Linked DNA regions of Drosophila melanogaster. The gene in region 1 interacts genetically with each later gene. Each region holds a gene or a part of one and is shown on either strand. Other genes may lie near its edges.

The links. Genes that interact genetically often act in the same process or in processes that back each other up.
Region 2: of Cul5 (region 1) and gus, changing one enhances a phenotype caused by changing the other (phenotypic enhancement), as found in Drosophila melanogaster (one study listed by BioGRID).

Annotation. Positions count from the first base shown.
Region 1 is NT_033777.3:29,057,918-29,066,056, forward strand, and holds Cul5 (cullin 5), read right to left. Parts: upstream 5,059-8,139; 5' UTR 4,974-5,058; coding exon 4,965-4,973; intron 4,889-4,964; coding exon 3,285-4,888; intron 3,223-3,284; coding exon 3,102-3,222; intron 3,042-3,101; coding exon 2,684-3,041; intron 2,624-2,683; coding exon 2,445-2,623; intron 2,387-2,444; coding exon 2,237-2,386; intron 2,174-2,236; coding exon 2,036-2,173; 3' UTR 1,355-2,035; downstream 1-1,354. Other genes in the region: Sirt7 (sirtuin 7), read left to right, coding at 1-762; Bicra (BRD4 interacting chromatin remodeling complex associated protein), read left to right, coding at 6,665-6,695.
Region 2 is NT_033778.4:5,123,890-5,131,269, forward strand, and holds the start of gus (gustavus), read right to left. Parts: upstream 4,433-7,380; 5' UTR 4,337-4,432; intron 3,635-4,336; exon of another isoform or gene 3,514-3,634; intron 3,454-3,513; exon of another isoform or gene 3,360-3,453; intron 1-3,359. UniProt on the Drosophila melanogaster protein: Involved in the localization of vas to the posterior pole of the oocyte. Required maternally in the germ line for efficient primordial germ cell formation.

The DNA.
Region 1 (8,139 bases):
ACGGAGGAAACGCCGAGCAATGGTTTTCCAGAGCTGCCAAAACTAGTCGCCATACAAAAAACTCATGCGGAATGTTTGTCCGCGGTCCCAACTGAATCAAGACTAAAGCCGCTTCAGCTGCCACCGCTGGTGCCCATTGGAGCACCACTGTCCACACCCTTTGTTGAGCCCAAATTGGTCCTGCCACCTGCCTCTCAGTCGTCCAGCATACAGATAAAGAGCGAGGGCGATGGTGATTCCAGCACAGAGAACGATAACGAAGAGGAGGAGGAAAGCGAGCTGGCCCAGATGGATTTGTTGAGGCAAAACAACGATGAGGAGCTGCTTCGCCAATTACCCACGTGGTACGATGCCAAGTACGCGTATTCTGGTCTGCATAGCATCCTGATCCCACCACCAGCGGATCTCAATATTTGGAACTCGCAGGTGGTGCCGAACTTTGCGATGAACAGATCCGCTGCCAGTTGTTTCTTCTGCTTTGATCGGTATGCGGAGCTGGAGTGCCAGTTTTACCGGCGTTGGAACCTCAGTCAGCGCAAACACAAGAAACGGGCCAGAAGCGGTCGGTTCGTGGTCTGCGAGTGCTGTCCAACTTCCGACGACGACGATGACTACGATGAGAATATATCCTTGGCACACATAGCAGCGGCGGAAACGGCAAAGCGAAGACAGCAGCTGAGCACGAGTTTTCCACGGAAGTTGGCGCGAACCCAGGCAGGATGGTATGGCAAGGGCTATAAGAAAGGTCGGAAGAGACGGTAGATTCCCATTTATGTACGGCCGTGATTCCTCCCTAAGATAAGAAGGTGAAATGATTACCCTTGAGTCAATGGCTTTTTGGAAACGTTTGATCTTATACTTGATATGAAGGAGCTAGCTGTTTCTTTTCTACGGAAAAGATCGACCTGCCCTCACCGAGACATATGCTCGCTTCAATAGTATTTTAGCTATAGGTTTATAAGTCATAGATGATAGTGGCAGCTAGAATAGAATAGGGTTCCTTTTATTTAGACGTGTTTTTTAAAATGCTCTATTTGTCAGTCTTTGATTATATTAATAGGTCAGCCCGTTTTTGTCTATTTTCGATATTTAGTTTAATTTTAATGGGTTTGATTGTATGTCACAATTGTGTAACTCTTGTCCTGGTATTTTGGTGCACTTGCTGCAGAAATCATTTGACCTTGTTTTTAATTATTAATATAGGTTTTTACTTTTAGAACGCTAACCTAACATCCGCCCCTCTACACACGTAAGTTAAATAAAGAAAATAAGCATTATGGTATAATGAAATGCATTCGATTTTTATTCGCCCTTCAGTTGCAGTAACCAGTTAAAAATAAAACTGCAATAGATTCGCTTTCATTATGTGTAGAACCAAATTTATTCATTAACTTAAACATAAAGTATTGCTATTTTAGTTATAGTTTTGCGATCCCGTGTGAGTGTTTGTGTGTGATTAGGCATTCCATGCTGGGAGCGAGCGGAGACGAAGAATTGGCTTCCCCATCAATCTTCAGGAGGTGTGTGAGTCTCACGTGGAACATTGCAAAATACCCAAGAATCAACAGAAGACCAGGCAACGGAAACAAACAAGGGATAACTACACACATAGAAAACAGCAGGTTGATTAGATTAACGCTATCGATCGATATACTCGGGGGCAGGGCGTGGGCGTGGGTTCGGAATTTCCAGGGTGCATGTAGCGCACAAAACATAATATCTAGAGCTACGCAGAGCAGCCAGTGGGCCAATATAAAAATACAAAGTTTCACAAATACAGGACGTGGACACGAGAAAATGGCTGCCGATTGGAGTGTGGGTCTTTTAAATGCTCTGAGGGCGCAATGTCAGTAGCGAATCACGTTTCCATATAATACAATTATCCAATTCCGTAGACAGAAAAAGGGCGCGTGCTTTGAGCACGTCGGCGTTGAGATTAAAATCGCAATAGTTTTTGAGTAGCGTGTGAGGGAATGGAAATGGGAATGACTGCATAGACGGGACTGAGACTAGAGCCGGGATCAGGAGCAGCTGCTTAGGCCACGTAAATGAACATGTTGATATCATCGTCGTCCCGTCTCATATACTTGTTCTCAATCAGCCACTCCAGCTGCTCCTTGATCATCTTCTTGGACGGCAGGAACATGTTCTTCAATATGTCGATGAGTTCACCCTGTAGAAGAATGTTTTTTTTTTAGATCCCTTGAAACGCACAACTAGCTATCGAACAACGAACCTGCAGCGCTGCGTTGTTCATCCGCTTGCGCACTTTCATGATTTTGATAATGGCCTCTTGTGTGCGCAGAATACGCAGTTGCACAATGGATTGATTGTCCTCCTGCTGCGAGCGCTCCGTGCTCAATTGCAGTCGCCCGATGAGATTCAGCTGCGGGTGAGAACTCTGGTTATGGATTATCTATTAGATAGCTAATATGCGTAATCACCTTTCCACGACGCTGGGATTTGCCATTCTTGACAATAGCAAATTCCTGATTAATATAGAACATTGTGTTCTCGGCAAAGTCCTTGGGCGAACTGATCGCCGCCGGTTCCATGAGCAGGATCTGTTTCTTTATCTTAGGGAACGCTACCAGCGACCACAACGTTCGCCTCAGTTCGGGATCTTAAAAATACACAAATAATTATCATCAAAGCGAAAAGTAAATTTGCAAGCAATCCTAACCTGGTAGTTCTGTGGCCAGGCGGAGATTCTCGTAGGAAATTTTGTCATGCTGACGCTGATTCCAGGCAAACAAGACGGCCATCTGGAAAGTGGTCACATCCAGATCGTAGCGCCCGAAGTTATTCACAAAGGTGATAGTGCCATTGCTCATGTGATGGTACCACTGCAGCTTACGGCCGGAATGCTTCTTCTTGTAAAACTCCTCCACATCAGGAATATAGTCCTCGAGCTCGATGGGCAGTGAGACCGAGACTCGCTCCGAACAGCGGGCCCAGGCACCCGCGTTGAGTATTTTTATGTTGATAGCATCGTGCCGACTTATCGAGGTGCGGAATTGAGTATTTAAGTCTTCGCTGACCTATATACGAAAGGGGATAATGAATAAACCTGCTCCTAACATCAGTCTGGTAAAACCTACCTTTATGTCTTGGAACATGCGCGCCAGCCGATTCACGTAGTCCGCCGGCATGCCCACCTCCCTCAGCCACTCGACTATGTCCTCCTCCTTTTCGCTGTCCGCACTGGTCCCCAGAATCAAGCTGTAATTGGAGGAACAAGAGTATGTAATCGCTTCATTTGAAACATTATGCAGTCAACTTACCGCCTCGTCAAATGAACTTTGTGATAGCGCATAAAGACGTCCTTGTTGTTGACGTACTTCAGGACCAAGAGGACATCGCGCAGACGGGCGTCGATCTGTTCGCTGGTGAGGCGTTTGCTGAGCGGCGTTCGCCGCAGCAGCATGTCGCAATAGTTGGCCAGTAGTTCCGGGCATTTGCTCTCCGGCGCTGTGTACTTTACACCCCGATTGGCGATACTCGTGGGTAGCTCCATCTTGAACACGCTGGTGTCGTTGACTACCGTCTTAAAAGCAATGTCGCGGGCAGTGAGGAAGCGGGGATCGTCGTTGAAGGCGTTGCGTACCAGGTCGCTGAACTTGTTGAACAGCTCAAGTAGCCGCTCAACGTACTTTTCCGAATCCTGGGTAATCACCTCCGAAGCGGACAGCATGTCGGCCAGTCCGGCGGACATGATGTGACGCTGCAGGTCACCCATCATGGGCTCCACGCCAACGCCGTGCATCACTCTATCCATCAGGCGGAACATGAGATTCAATCGCTCCGTTTCATAGTCCCTGATCAAAGCCGGACACTCGGCGATGATTGAGTTGAGGTGGTCCACTATGAGCACATTAACCAGCGTGTAAGTAAGTATACTGAAGCTGCTGGGCTCCAGATACCGCTTGGCCCTAACCTCCTCCTCACGCAACTTTGAGTCGGCGTATTTCATATAGGCCAGCACTCCGTTCTCTTGCTGTTGTTCGGCGGATTTCAGGCGATAGAACTCGACAGTGGCCTTAAGGTACGCCATCTCAAAGTTCTCCCTGTAGATCTCTAGTTTGTCCTCTGCATTCGAGGAGAGATTCACATAGCTCTCGCGCACGCCTACCACTAGCTGGGCATCATAGGCATCGCCGTTCCGCTCGGCGTGCACAATCTTCATGGCCGACTCCTGCAGACGATGCTTGATGTCGTGGAATATGTGCTTGTTCCAGGAGTCCAGCATTAGTTTTCGTACAGGACTGTCCTCCGTGGGGTTTTTCTTGGAGGTAGAGGTGCTGCTGCTGGAGCTCCCACTTCCGGAAGCAGCTGCAGCTGCCGCTGCTGAGCTTGTGGAGGCGGATGTGGAGGCTGCAGCAGCGGCGGCTGAAGTGGAGGCTCCAGCTGCGGCTGAGGTGGAGGCTCCTGACTTTCCAGCCTGGCCGCTGCAGGAAGTAGCTGCTGCCGCCGCGGCGGCACTCGTACTCGCTCCCGAGGCGGAGACGGATGCGGAGGAGCTGCTGCCACTGGAGGAGGGCTTCACCTGGGGCGACTGCTCCAGCTGGCGGAAAGGCAGCGGCAGGTAGTTGGACTGTGTAAAGAACTTCCGCCACTCCACAATATAGGTGGCCAGAAGGGCCTGCTCGCCCCGTTGCGCTTGCACCTGGCTTTGGGCCTGGACGATAAACTCAACGATGTCCTGCTGCAGGCAGTCGTAGATCTTGGCCGCGCCCTTCTCGTCCCACAGGCACACGAAGTGTACGCCGAAGAATAGGTCCTGCCATTCGCGCTGCGACACCGTGTCCTGGCGCAGTAGCTTTAAAACTATTCGCCTTTTGTCCGGCCAAACTTCCTCGAAGATGTCCCTGTCCCGTTTCCCGATTGCCTGTCGTACAGGGAGATAAAGGTATATGTGCACACTGAACTCTATATGCGTTTTCATCGCCGATCAGGTCACTTACCCGTAGCATTTTGATCGTAGCAATCTCTTTGTTTTTGTTGCTGCGTCCGCTTCACTTCATTTATATTTATTTTTTGTAATTAGGCGATACGATACGATAGTTGGCTATCGACCAGTGTTGGTAAAATTTCGCCCGTAGGGCTTATCGCCCATCGACCAATCGATTTCGGGCAGTCGATAAAACAACAGTTCGGAGTGCAGCAAAAGTGCGGGAAATCTGCGGAAATGTTATTAATCGAACATTAAGGGATACCTCGCCCAGCCGCGGTAATAATAACCAAGGAGAAATAGGGCAATAATACAAAGTTGTCTTGTCGAGGGTTTTGTGAAGTTCGCTAGTTTGCCCACTTCGTTTTGGTTTTTTTCTTCTCTACCTCTTCGTGCGCGAGTGAGACAAAAGCAGTACTAGCAGACATCTCGGTCTAGCACACGTCCCCGACCTAATGTCTGGTCTGCATTGTTTCAGGGCTGTCAGATGTGCCTGAAATACTCAGTTCCGCATTTCAAAATATCGCTTACTATTTCGTGTTCTAAAAATAATATATTTTGTTTTTAGTGCGGAAACTTGTATGGTTTTCTTTATATTCTTATTTGTTAAACTAGTAAAATAAAGTTATTTATCAATTTAATTTCGTTACGTTATTGCCGTCTTGATGTTTATTTACATTCAAAAAGTCTTTCACAGACAGGTGTCAACCCTAGTTTTTATAACTTATCGTAAACAACGCGCTTAAATCTTTATAAATCACAAAGAGTTTTCTAAGCTTTTATTAAAGTGACTGTTTTATTTATAAACATTGAATTCTTGTAGAAAACCATATTTTTTAGAGTGAATACAATCGATGGTTGCGGGGCAAACATCGATGCTGCCAGTTATCTGTATACATCGATAGTATCGACTAACCATCGGCTTCTCTTCCAGCTCTAGCATTCACCATTTCCCTTTGTTTGCGGCGGCGGCGCTCGTTGTACGGCCGTGCGAATCGAGAGAAAAACGCATAAAATCGGGGAAAGTGCACTAGCCCCGTGCTGCAATGTAAATAAACAAGGCTCTGATGAGCAGTTGCCGATCAAGTGCTTCGATTAGCCAGCAAAATGTGCGTACAAGGCGAGAATCAGTGACGAAAACAACAACTACGTGCTGCTGCGTTCATTGACGTGACGCGCGAGAGTGAATGTGTGCGTGCGTGTGTGTTTGTGTGTGTGTGCTGGCTGCTGGCGAGTGAGTGTGTGCGTGCTCCCCATATGTGTGTTGTCGAAAAAGCGTTTTTCAAACCACAAGCCAGCAACAAACAAATCACAACAGCACGTCACAAATTGCAATAGAAGCAGAAGCAGCAACACCTCAAATCAAAAAAAGGCCCCACAACAACAACATCTGTCGAGTTCTCAGAGAGTGAGAAAAAGAAAGAGCGCGTTAGAGTGAGAGAGGGGCAAAAAGAAAGTCAACAGTCGCGTGTGAAATGAAATTCGAAAGATGTCCGCGTGTGTGTGTGTTGAGTGTATAGAATTGAGTAAGAAGCAGCGCGGCAAAAGGAAATAAGCAAAAGCAATAGCCAAAAGGAACCAACAACCAGCAGCAACAAATTACCCAATGAATCAATCAAAATTGGCATAATTTGCATTCGCCGACGTTATTGTCTATAAAACCCCCCTGAAAAAAACACCACACAACAGAAGAGCAGCACAAATCTTTTGCCAATGAGTCGCAGACAGTCATTGGATCGACCAGGTGAGAAAATGCCAATCAAAAACACACACAAAAAAACTACGAATAGAAAATCCAAATTCGTAATCACGCTTACTGAGAGCAAGAGCAAGAGCGTGCAGCATCCGATTCTGATTTTAAAAATGCACTTGCGCACGTTCTCTTCGCCGCTCTTCTCGCTGCTTCGCTCTCGCTGCTCTTTCGTGCTAAAAATAAACGCTGGCTGCGCAGCTGCTCCCAAACACTTGAACTTTGTAAACACCTCCGACACTCCAACAATTCGGCCATTGTACAGTGACAAAAACCAGCGTAATTATGAGTCTTCATCAAAAAGCCAAATCACTGAAAACTATAAATGAATGCAAGGGGCGGCCATCCGCTCTCCACTCGCTCGCCATTCTATTTTTAACCCGACTTTCATCACTCTCGAGCGGGGAAAAGAGAAAGTATCTGTCACTGTCTTAAGCAGATGTAAATGTGCCTCATATAACTATAGCCTTTATGCACTGTTTGTCCATGTGTGAGTGTTGTCCGGGAAGAAAGCAGCAGATCAAAAATCACCAACTTTGGTTTGTTTGTGTTTTGTTTTCGCCAGGGCAATTAGTATTATGGGCGAATAATACCATGGTAAAAGCCAGACGCTTGAAGTTTGGTCTGTTTTGTTTGAGGAACTTATCGGAAGTTCATAAAGATTGAGCCAAATTTATTATTACTTTTTAATAAGTAAAAAGTAAGCTTTGGAAAATGCATTAAGCAGCAAATGAGAAAGGATAGGTGGTACATGGATGAGACTATTGTAATCCAGCTATTAAGCTAATTAGCCGTCAATCTATTAAGCCAGCTTTACGAATATTTATGCTATCATTTAGATTTAGTGTTGGAAAGAAATCTATTTCCCCCAATCCTAGGGCCGCAATTTGCACTGCAATGCTGGCACACAACAACAATAGTAATGGGCTTAGACGTAGCTGCTTGGCGTTGAGGAATGCTGTCCACTTATCAGCTGCAATTAGCAATGAATGTTGAATGCAAGCCGTGCATCGCTTTGGGAACTCAGACTGTCCGGCCCCTCCACACACTAACATACACACACTACAACTCACATACAAATGCTAACACATACTCCCACGCTGTGTTCCTTTAATTTATTTATAACATTCAATGTAAACTCTGCTCAAGCGCCAGAGTCAAACGGCACAAACAATTTTCGATGCAAGGCAACAAAAACAGGGGCCAGCAGTTGCGTTTGCTTGATTTTTTTATTATTTCCCACTTTGTAGGTCAGGGTTGTCGTGTGTAATGCAAAACGTGCCAGCAAATTGAATGAATAAGCGTGGCTATTCCACTGCAAGTGCATTTACAACAATTGCAGGGTATTGCCAGAAATTAGCCACAGTCAAATAAATAAGGCATAGAATAAAATCAACTGTACAGCCATGCTTAATTGGTGTATAGAATTTCGCGTGAT
Region 2 (7,380 bases), on another chromosome or scaffold:
AAATAAAAAATTAACTTATTTAAAAAAATTTTAAATATACCGTGAAAACAAATGATAGGTCGATATTAGTTTAAAATATTTTAGTTTTTCTACGTATAGTATATATGACGAATTTATAATTATTATAAATTCATTTTTTTTAATACCCGTTGCTCGTAGAGTAAAAGGGTATGTTATACTCTTTGAAAAGTATGTAACAAGCTGAAGAAAGCGTTTTGACCACACAAAGTATATATATTTTTGATCAGGATCAATAGCCGAGTCGATCTGGCCATGTCCGTCTGTTCGTATGAACGTCGAGATCTCAGGAACTATAAAAGATAGAAGGTTGAAATTCAGCATACAGATTCTAGAAACAAAGGCGTAGCGCAAGTTTGTTTGGCACGCCCACTCTAATGTCATAAAACCGGTCACGCTCACACTTTTGAACAATTTTTAATTTTTTACGCATTTTATTTACTAATATCTATCGATATCCCAGAAAAATGATGAAATTTCGAGTTCGCATGCACACTAGCTGAGTAACGGGTATCTGATAGTCGGGGAACTCGACTACAGCACCCTCTCTTGAAAATATTATTGTATTATTGTACACATTTTTTATTTTATTTGAACATTTGCAGATTTCTTTTTATTAATTAATAGCTTTCGATTATTTGGCACCTCACCTTTTACCGGTAACACAGCTAAAAGTGTTCTTCAAAATTAACGGTTATATGTAGAACGTATCGAACTAAACAGCAGGAGGTGATCCCAAGAAATAAATAAAAAAAACTTTGAGTTTTGTAATTTATTTATTTTATATTATGTATAAAATTTTGCCCCAGTAATTTTTGTGTTAGGGGGGGGGGGGGTTAAATACTGCAAGAAATAGATAAAATATAATGTTATTAGGTAGAATTTATAAGTTTATTAAAACATACAATATTGGTAAAATGATTAGGTAAATCGTGTTTCGTTTGATTACTTCTGTTGAACCGATGAAAAAACAGGACAGAACGCTATAGTCGAGTTTCCCGACTATCCCTATTACTCAGCTAGTGCGAATGCAACGCGAAATTTCATCATTTTCTCGGATATCAAAAGATATTGGGGAATAAAATGAGAAACATTTTGTAAATTGTTTAAAAGTGTGGTCGGGACTGTTTTGGGCGTTTTGTAAGTGAAAGGGGGTGCGTGGCCGCAGTATATTGGTATACTGATAAAAAATGGCAAGACAAAGAAAAAATAACGAAGAAAAATCGAAATATTTTTCACGAAATATGTATTGATTTAATTAATATATTGTTACTTACTTGCAAAATACAAACCATAATTTGAAAACAGCCACAAAATTTATAATACACAAGAAAACTTTATCGATCTTTACGACTTAATATAGCATGCGAAACAAAAACGCCACGCGATTCTTTTCTGTCTCTTTTCGTGTTTTATATAAACTGTTTTTCCAATGCTTTCAAACTTAAGAATCGAATATAAGCAAATTTGAATATTTATTACTTATGGTAGTACATTATGAAGATATATTTTTTTACTAATGTGAAAACATACTAGCAATACTGTATATATATATATATATATATATATATAGTATTATATTAATCATATAATAATCAGAACAATCACAGATTATCAAGACAACCAGGAATCCGATATTTAGATGCGAGGCAAGAAGATATTTCAAAACTTAGTTAGCGTATCGATCGATTTCAAGTAAAAGGAAAATCGAAAAAAAAAAATTTCGACATAAAAGCTATTTAAAGCGTGCCAACCACTTTTATTCGTATCATTCCTAAAGCTTGTACAGCTAGTTGTCTTATTGAATTCCTTATTGTTTTGATTTCACAGACCGAGTTAAAGCAAAGACAATAGAATTACAAGATGCGTAACGGCCATTCATTGGTTTTGCACTATGCAGCCACTTTTTTGTTGACGGTCAAAATTGCTCTCTCTCCGCTTGAGTAAAATTGAGAGCGGTATAAAATCGAAAAAAATAATACACTTGCTTGTGTGTGCTAAAAGAATAAACGAGAAAGCAAAGACACTAGAATAACTAGCGTCTTTGGAGAATGTTTGTATGTGTGCGTACTTGTGCTAGAAGACGATTTTCGGGCAGAAATCAATTTTGATCTAAGATCCGATATAACATATTTAGAGTTTCGGGCAATTTCGTTGCAAAATGATCTACTCAAATAATATTTAAACATGTATGCCTTGACTATTAGATTTTTAAAGTGTTTCATATAAATGTTTCATATCTTAATTTGTGTTTATAATTAATAATATGTAAAACGGGACTGACGACATCTTTTGCGACATCAATTTTTAAAGTTGCAATGTGAAATATTTAAAAAAAAAATTACATTTCAAAAAATAAATTTCTAAATAATAATAAAAACATACATACATACATTAAACACATAAAGAAAACGTAGAGTTTCTTGACAGTCTCAAAATTCTTTTCTTTATATTTAATATTTATAATTTGTTTTTTGATTTATAAGTAAAACAAAAATATATTTCATAAAAAAATAGCGTTTGAACATTTTTACCTTTAAGGTCAAAAATTCAACTTATTTCACAGTGTGTAAACAGTTTCTTGACAAACTGTATATACAATATATAAAAATACGTTGACTGTTTATTGCAAAAATGATTTCTTGAGACACGAAGTGCGAACATAAGCACCCAACAATCATTGTCTCCTTTATTCTTACGCATACAGTGACAGCCGAAGAGGGCAGCTGGCTGTATATCTTTCCGCACTCTGGCTCTTAAACAAACATTCGAGAGAGCCTGGAGCCATCTCTAGAGCCAGCACCAAAAAATCGAGAGAAAAACAAAACAGAATGCTGTAGTCGAACGTAAAATTGCATACATTTTTTGGGATATCGATAGATAAAGATAAAATAAAAAGGATTTAAAAATGGTTTAAAAGTGTGGGCGTGACCGTTTTGTTGGTAAAAGGGGAGGCGTGGTTACGGTGTTTTTGGTATACCGATAAAAAATTGGCAAGACAAACAAAAATGAAAAAAAATCTAAACATTTTTTTAAAGTGTGGGCGTGACAGTTTGGGGAAGTTTTAGGGCGTTAGATTAGGCGTGGCAAAAAGTTTTTTGGCATATCGATACAAATTTACAAGACTAATTAAATTATTGAAAAATATCCAGAAATTTGTTCAAAAATGTGGGCGTGGCAGTTTTTGGCGGTTTAAGGGCGTTAGAAATTTTTTTTTTGTAAATCGATAGAAATTTACAAGACTAAAAAAAATGTGAAAAAATATCAACACATTTTTTAAAAGTGTGGGCTTGACAGTTTTGTGTGGTGTGTGGGCGTTAGAGTTTGCGTGGCAACATGGGTCACAAACTTGCGCTGCGTCTATGTTTTTAGAATCTGTATGCTGAATCTCAACATTTTGGCTGATCTTGATGCTGATATGGACAGACGGACATGGTCAGATTGTCTCGATCAAGAATATATGTATTTACATATGTTTGTATATACTTTATATAGTCGGAAACGCTTCCTTCCTCCTGCTACATAGTTTTCAACGGATCTAGGAACCCTGTTACTCTACGGGTATAACGAGTATAACAAATAGCGTATAGTCTGAATGACTAAAGGATGTAGTGAAGTAAGTTAAAGTAAACTTTACATTGTGTGAATTAACAATATGCTAGTGTAAAAGCGGCTTGCGCCGCCTTCATTGAGTTAAGCCTGCATATTACCTTTTAAAAGAAAAGTAGTGATGCAGTCTTGGTTTAAATGTAATTTTTATACTAACCAAAATTTCGTATTGATTCAACTTTACTGTTAAAGTTAATAGAAAATAAATGAAAAGTTGCTACAGCACCGACGAACTATTCATAAAAAAAAAATTCGAAAATCATATAACTGAAGCAAGCCCATGGCCAGATCGACTTGTCTAGTAATCCTGATCAATAATATAGTTATTTATATACATATGCTTAAATACTTTATGCATTAGGGAAACGCTTCCTTCCCTATAATATATTCTCCAACAAATCTTTAAGATTGTATGCAATTACGTATGTATGTATTTTTGGTGATATCAGATTCACTCCTAATTAATATTCTTATAGTGTTTTTGTACGCTCATACAAATTCAATCCAAGGAGATTGAATACATGAAGTTCAATATGTACAGATAAGTTTTCACATATAATTATTTTTATCACATATCTCAAATTTTTATCTGATTAACGTTTATAAATATGAACATACATATGTTCTTACATTCCATATTTATAATTAATTGATCAATTCCCACGTTAGATATGTGTGAATTTCATTTATCAGTTCCTGTGAAACTTACATTACTTTTATCTTGTCGATTTGCTATGATTAAAATAAAACAACACATAAAGCAAAATATCACTCAGGAACCTTTGATGCACAAAACATTCATTTGTTTGTATATCCACTTATACCGTACATCAACAGTGTTGTGACATGTAACGATTTTTGTCATGTGCGGAATGAGTGGGATTTTGGAAAAGACTAATAATTTCTTCGAAATTATATAATTTAATTTAACTTCAAAGACCGAAGTTTGGTAAAGACTTTCTAAGTCAAGCCGTTTCAAGATTTAGCACAACATAATGTAAATTAAACAAATTTTAAAATCTTTTTAAATGAAGTTATTCATTTTATCACCATATTACAATTTTTTAAATTAAAGGTATCTGATTGACCCCATGCGTAAAAGTAACTTGATAAGTTTACAATTGCAAATTTTTGGTTTACCCAAACCAAAAAACTGTAATAATTCATAAAAACAATTATCTGTCTCGCTTGTTTTTACGGTATGACAGGCACATTTTACCTACTGTCGCATTACGCCTAAACTGCCAAACAATTTTTCATTTTATTAATATTTATGCCAAAAGCTGGCATTAGCTGAATAACGGGTAAATAAAAAAATATAAATATAAAATAACTAAAACAGTTTATTTTACTCGGCGTTATTAATTGAAAACCGGGTTCTCCTTACCGAATACGGCTCGTTCAAAGAATAATAAAGAATAATTAGATGCTTAACTGCCATATATTGTTTTTGCAGGTTGCACTTTTTTTGATGACATCCGATTGTTTATTGCGACTCCGCGCGGCAATGTGCTTCCTTCTACATTCTTGGCTTTGACTTTACGCGACTGAACTGCCTCTCAGTTCGTTCAACGTATGATACGATAATATACTGTTATTCTACCGCTCGTTTTACATACGCTTACAAATGGTAATATTGTACCTAATTTCAACAACTGTCCTTAATGTTACCATTTTTCAATTAATTTCTCAAAAATTTACACAACATTTCTCATGTATAAGTTTTGACAAAATCTTTTTTACATGTCGGCTATTATTAAACATATCGTTCAAAATCGCTACACAAAACTCGTCTTTTCATTGCTCAAAAACAGCTAATAAACAATAATTTGCAACAAGCTCGCAAAGCTGTTTAAAGCTTTAACACTTCAATTAAGTAGCACTCCGGCATAGGACGTCGCTGCCCCCTCTTGGGCGAGCTATCTGGCTGGACTTCTATTCTATGTTTACTACGATAATAGATAGCCATCCTGAACTAACAAACATAGAAAAGTTGCAGCATCTAAGAACATGTCTGAGGGACACTGCACTTGAAATATCGGATGGCAACTATGCTATAGCATTGAATTTGTCTGTTTGTTTAATATTCCAGGCACACATTACTGAGATTCTAGGGCAAGGGCAGTTCAGAATGGTTCCGTTTCAATGCTTTGTAAACTGTGTGATAAATTCAACGCTCATATTCGCGCGCTAAATGGAATGGGCTCAACGACACAAATCGTTGGATGAATTATCGCCCAAGTACTTATCCAAAAGCTGGATCCGGAAAGTCTGGCGAAATGGGAGCAGCATTTGGAGAACCAGTCTTAAAGAATTCAATTCCAACATGGCATCGTTTCTGGAGCAGTGTTGCAGGACGCAGCCGTAACAAGCTATGCGTCAGTCAACCAGGTGCAAAGTAGCAGAACATCTGATTTGTGTAGGTCTGTCCTTCTTGCCTCAAGCCTCAGCCCTGCGACCTGTGAGTTCTGCAATGTTTCTGGTCACTAAATTCATTAATGTAGAGCTTGAAAAACCTGACCACCGCTAATAGATTCATAGAAGCGAAAATCTTCGCATTTTAATAAATTGCTTTAGGACCGGAAATAAAATGAGGTAGGCAACTCCGATAAAAAGTTTAAGAAAAATGTTTTGTTTTCTTTTTTATCTCAAAATTCTATTTAATTAAATACGGGTACAATGCTTTTTTCTAGGATATCTTTTCCATTAATAAAATAATAATCTTCTTTAATAACATACTTTTACTGCTATATGACATAGTGTTCAAATTTCAATCCAATGAATTTAATATAAAATATATAAATAACAAGAGATAAGAGTAAAAATAGTTCCAAAGTGTAGGCGTGACCGGTACGGTAGTTTTGTCTCTAGAATCTTTACGCTGAATCTCAACATTCTAGCTGCGATCTTGATGTTCATATGGACATTTTTAAACAGTTTATTATTGCACAGCGCTGTACCGTTGGGCAAAAAAATTACCTTCGCTTTTTATTCTGGTTACTCGTAGAATTAAAGGGCATACTAGGATATATAACAGGCAGAAGGAAGCGTTTCCGATCACATAAAGTAAATATATTATTGATCAGGATAAATAGCCGAGTCGTTCTAGCCATGTCCGTATTAACGTATCAACAACTATAATAGCTAGAAGGTTGAGATTCAGCATTCAGAATAGAAGACAAAGAATAGAGACAAAGACGCAGCGCAAGTTTGTTGACCCATGTTGTCACTCCCACAAACCGCACAAAACTGCCACGCCCACACTTTTGAAAAACGTGTCGATATTTTTTATCACATTTTTATTTGTCTTGTACATTTCTGTCGACTTTCAAAAAATGTTTTGCCACGTCCACTCTATCGCCCTAAAATCTCCCAAAACTGCCACGCCCACAATTTTGAAAAACGTTTCCACATTTGTTCATAATTCTATTATTTTTGTGAATTTTTATCGATTTGCAAAAAAAATATTTGCCTCGGCCACCCTAACGCCCTAAAATCGCCCAAAACTGCCACGCCCACATTTTTGAAAAACGTTTCCATATTTTTTCATAATTTTATTATCTATGTGAATTTTTATCGAATTGCAAAAAAACTTTTGCCTCGGCCACTCTAACGCCCTAAAATCGCCTAAAACTGCCACGCCCACATTTTTAAAAAACGTTTCCATATTTTTTTATAATTTTATTATCTATGTGAATTTTTATCGATTTGTAAAAAAAAATATTTGCCTCGACCACTCTAACGCCCTAAAAC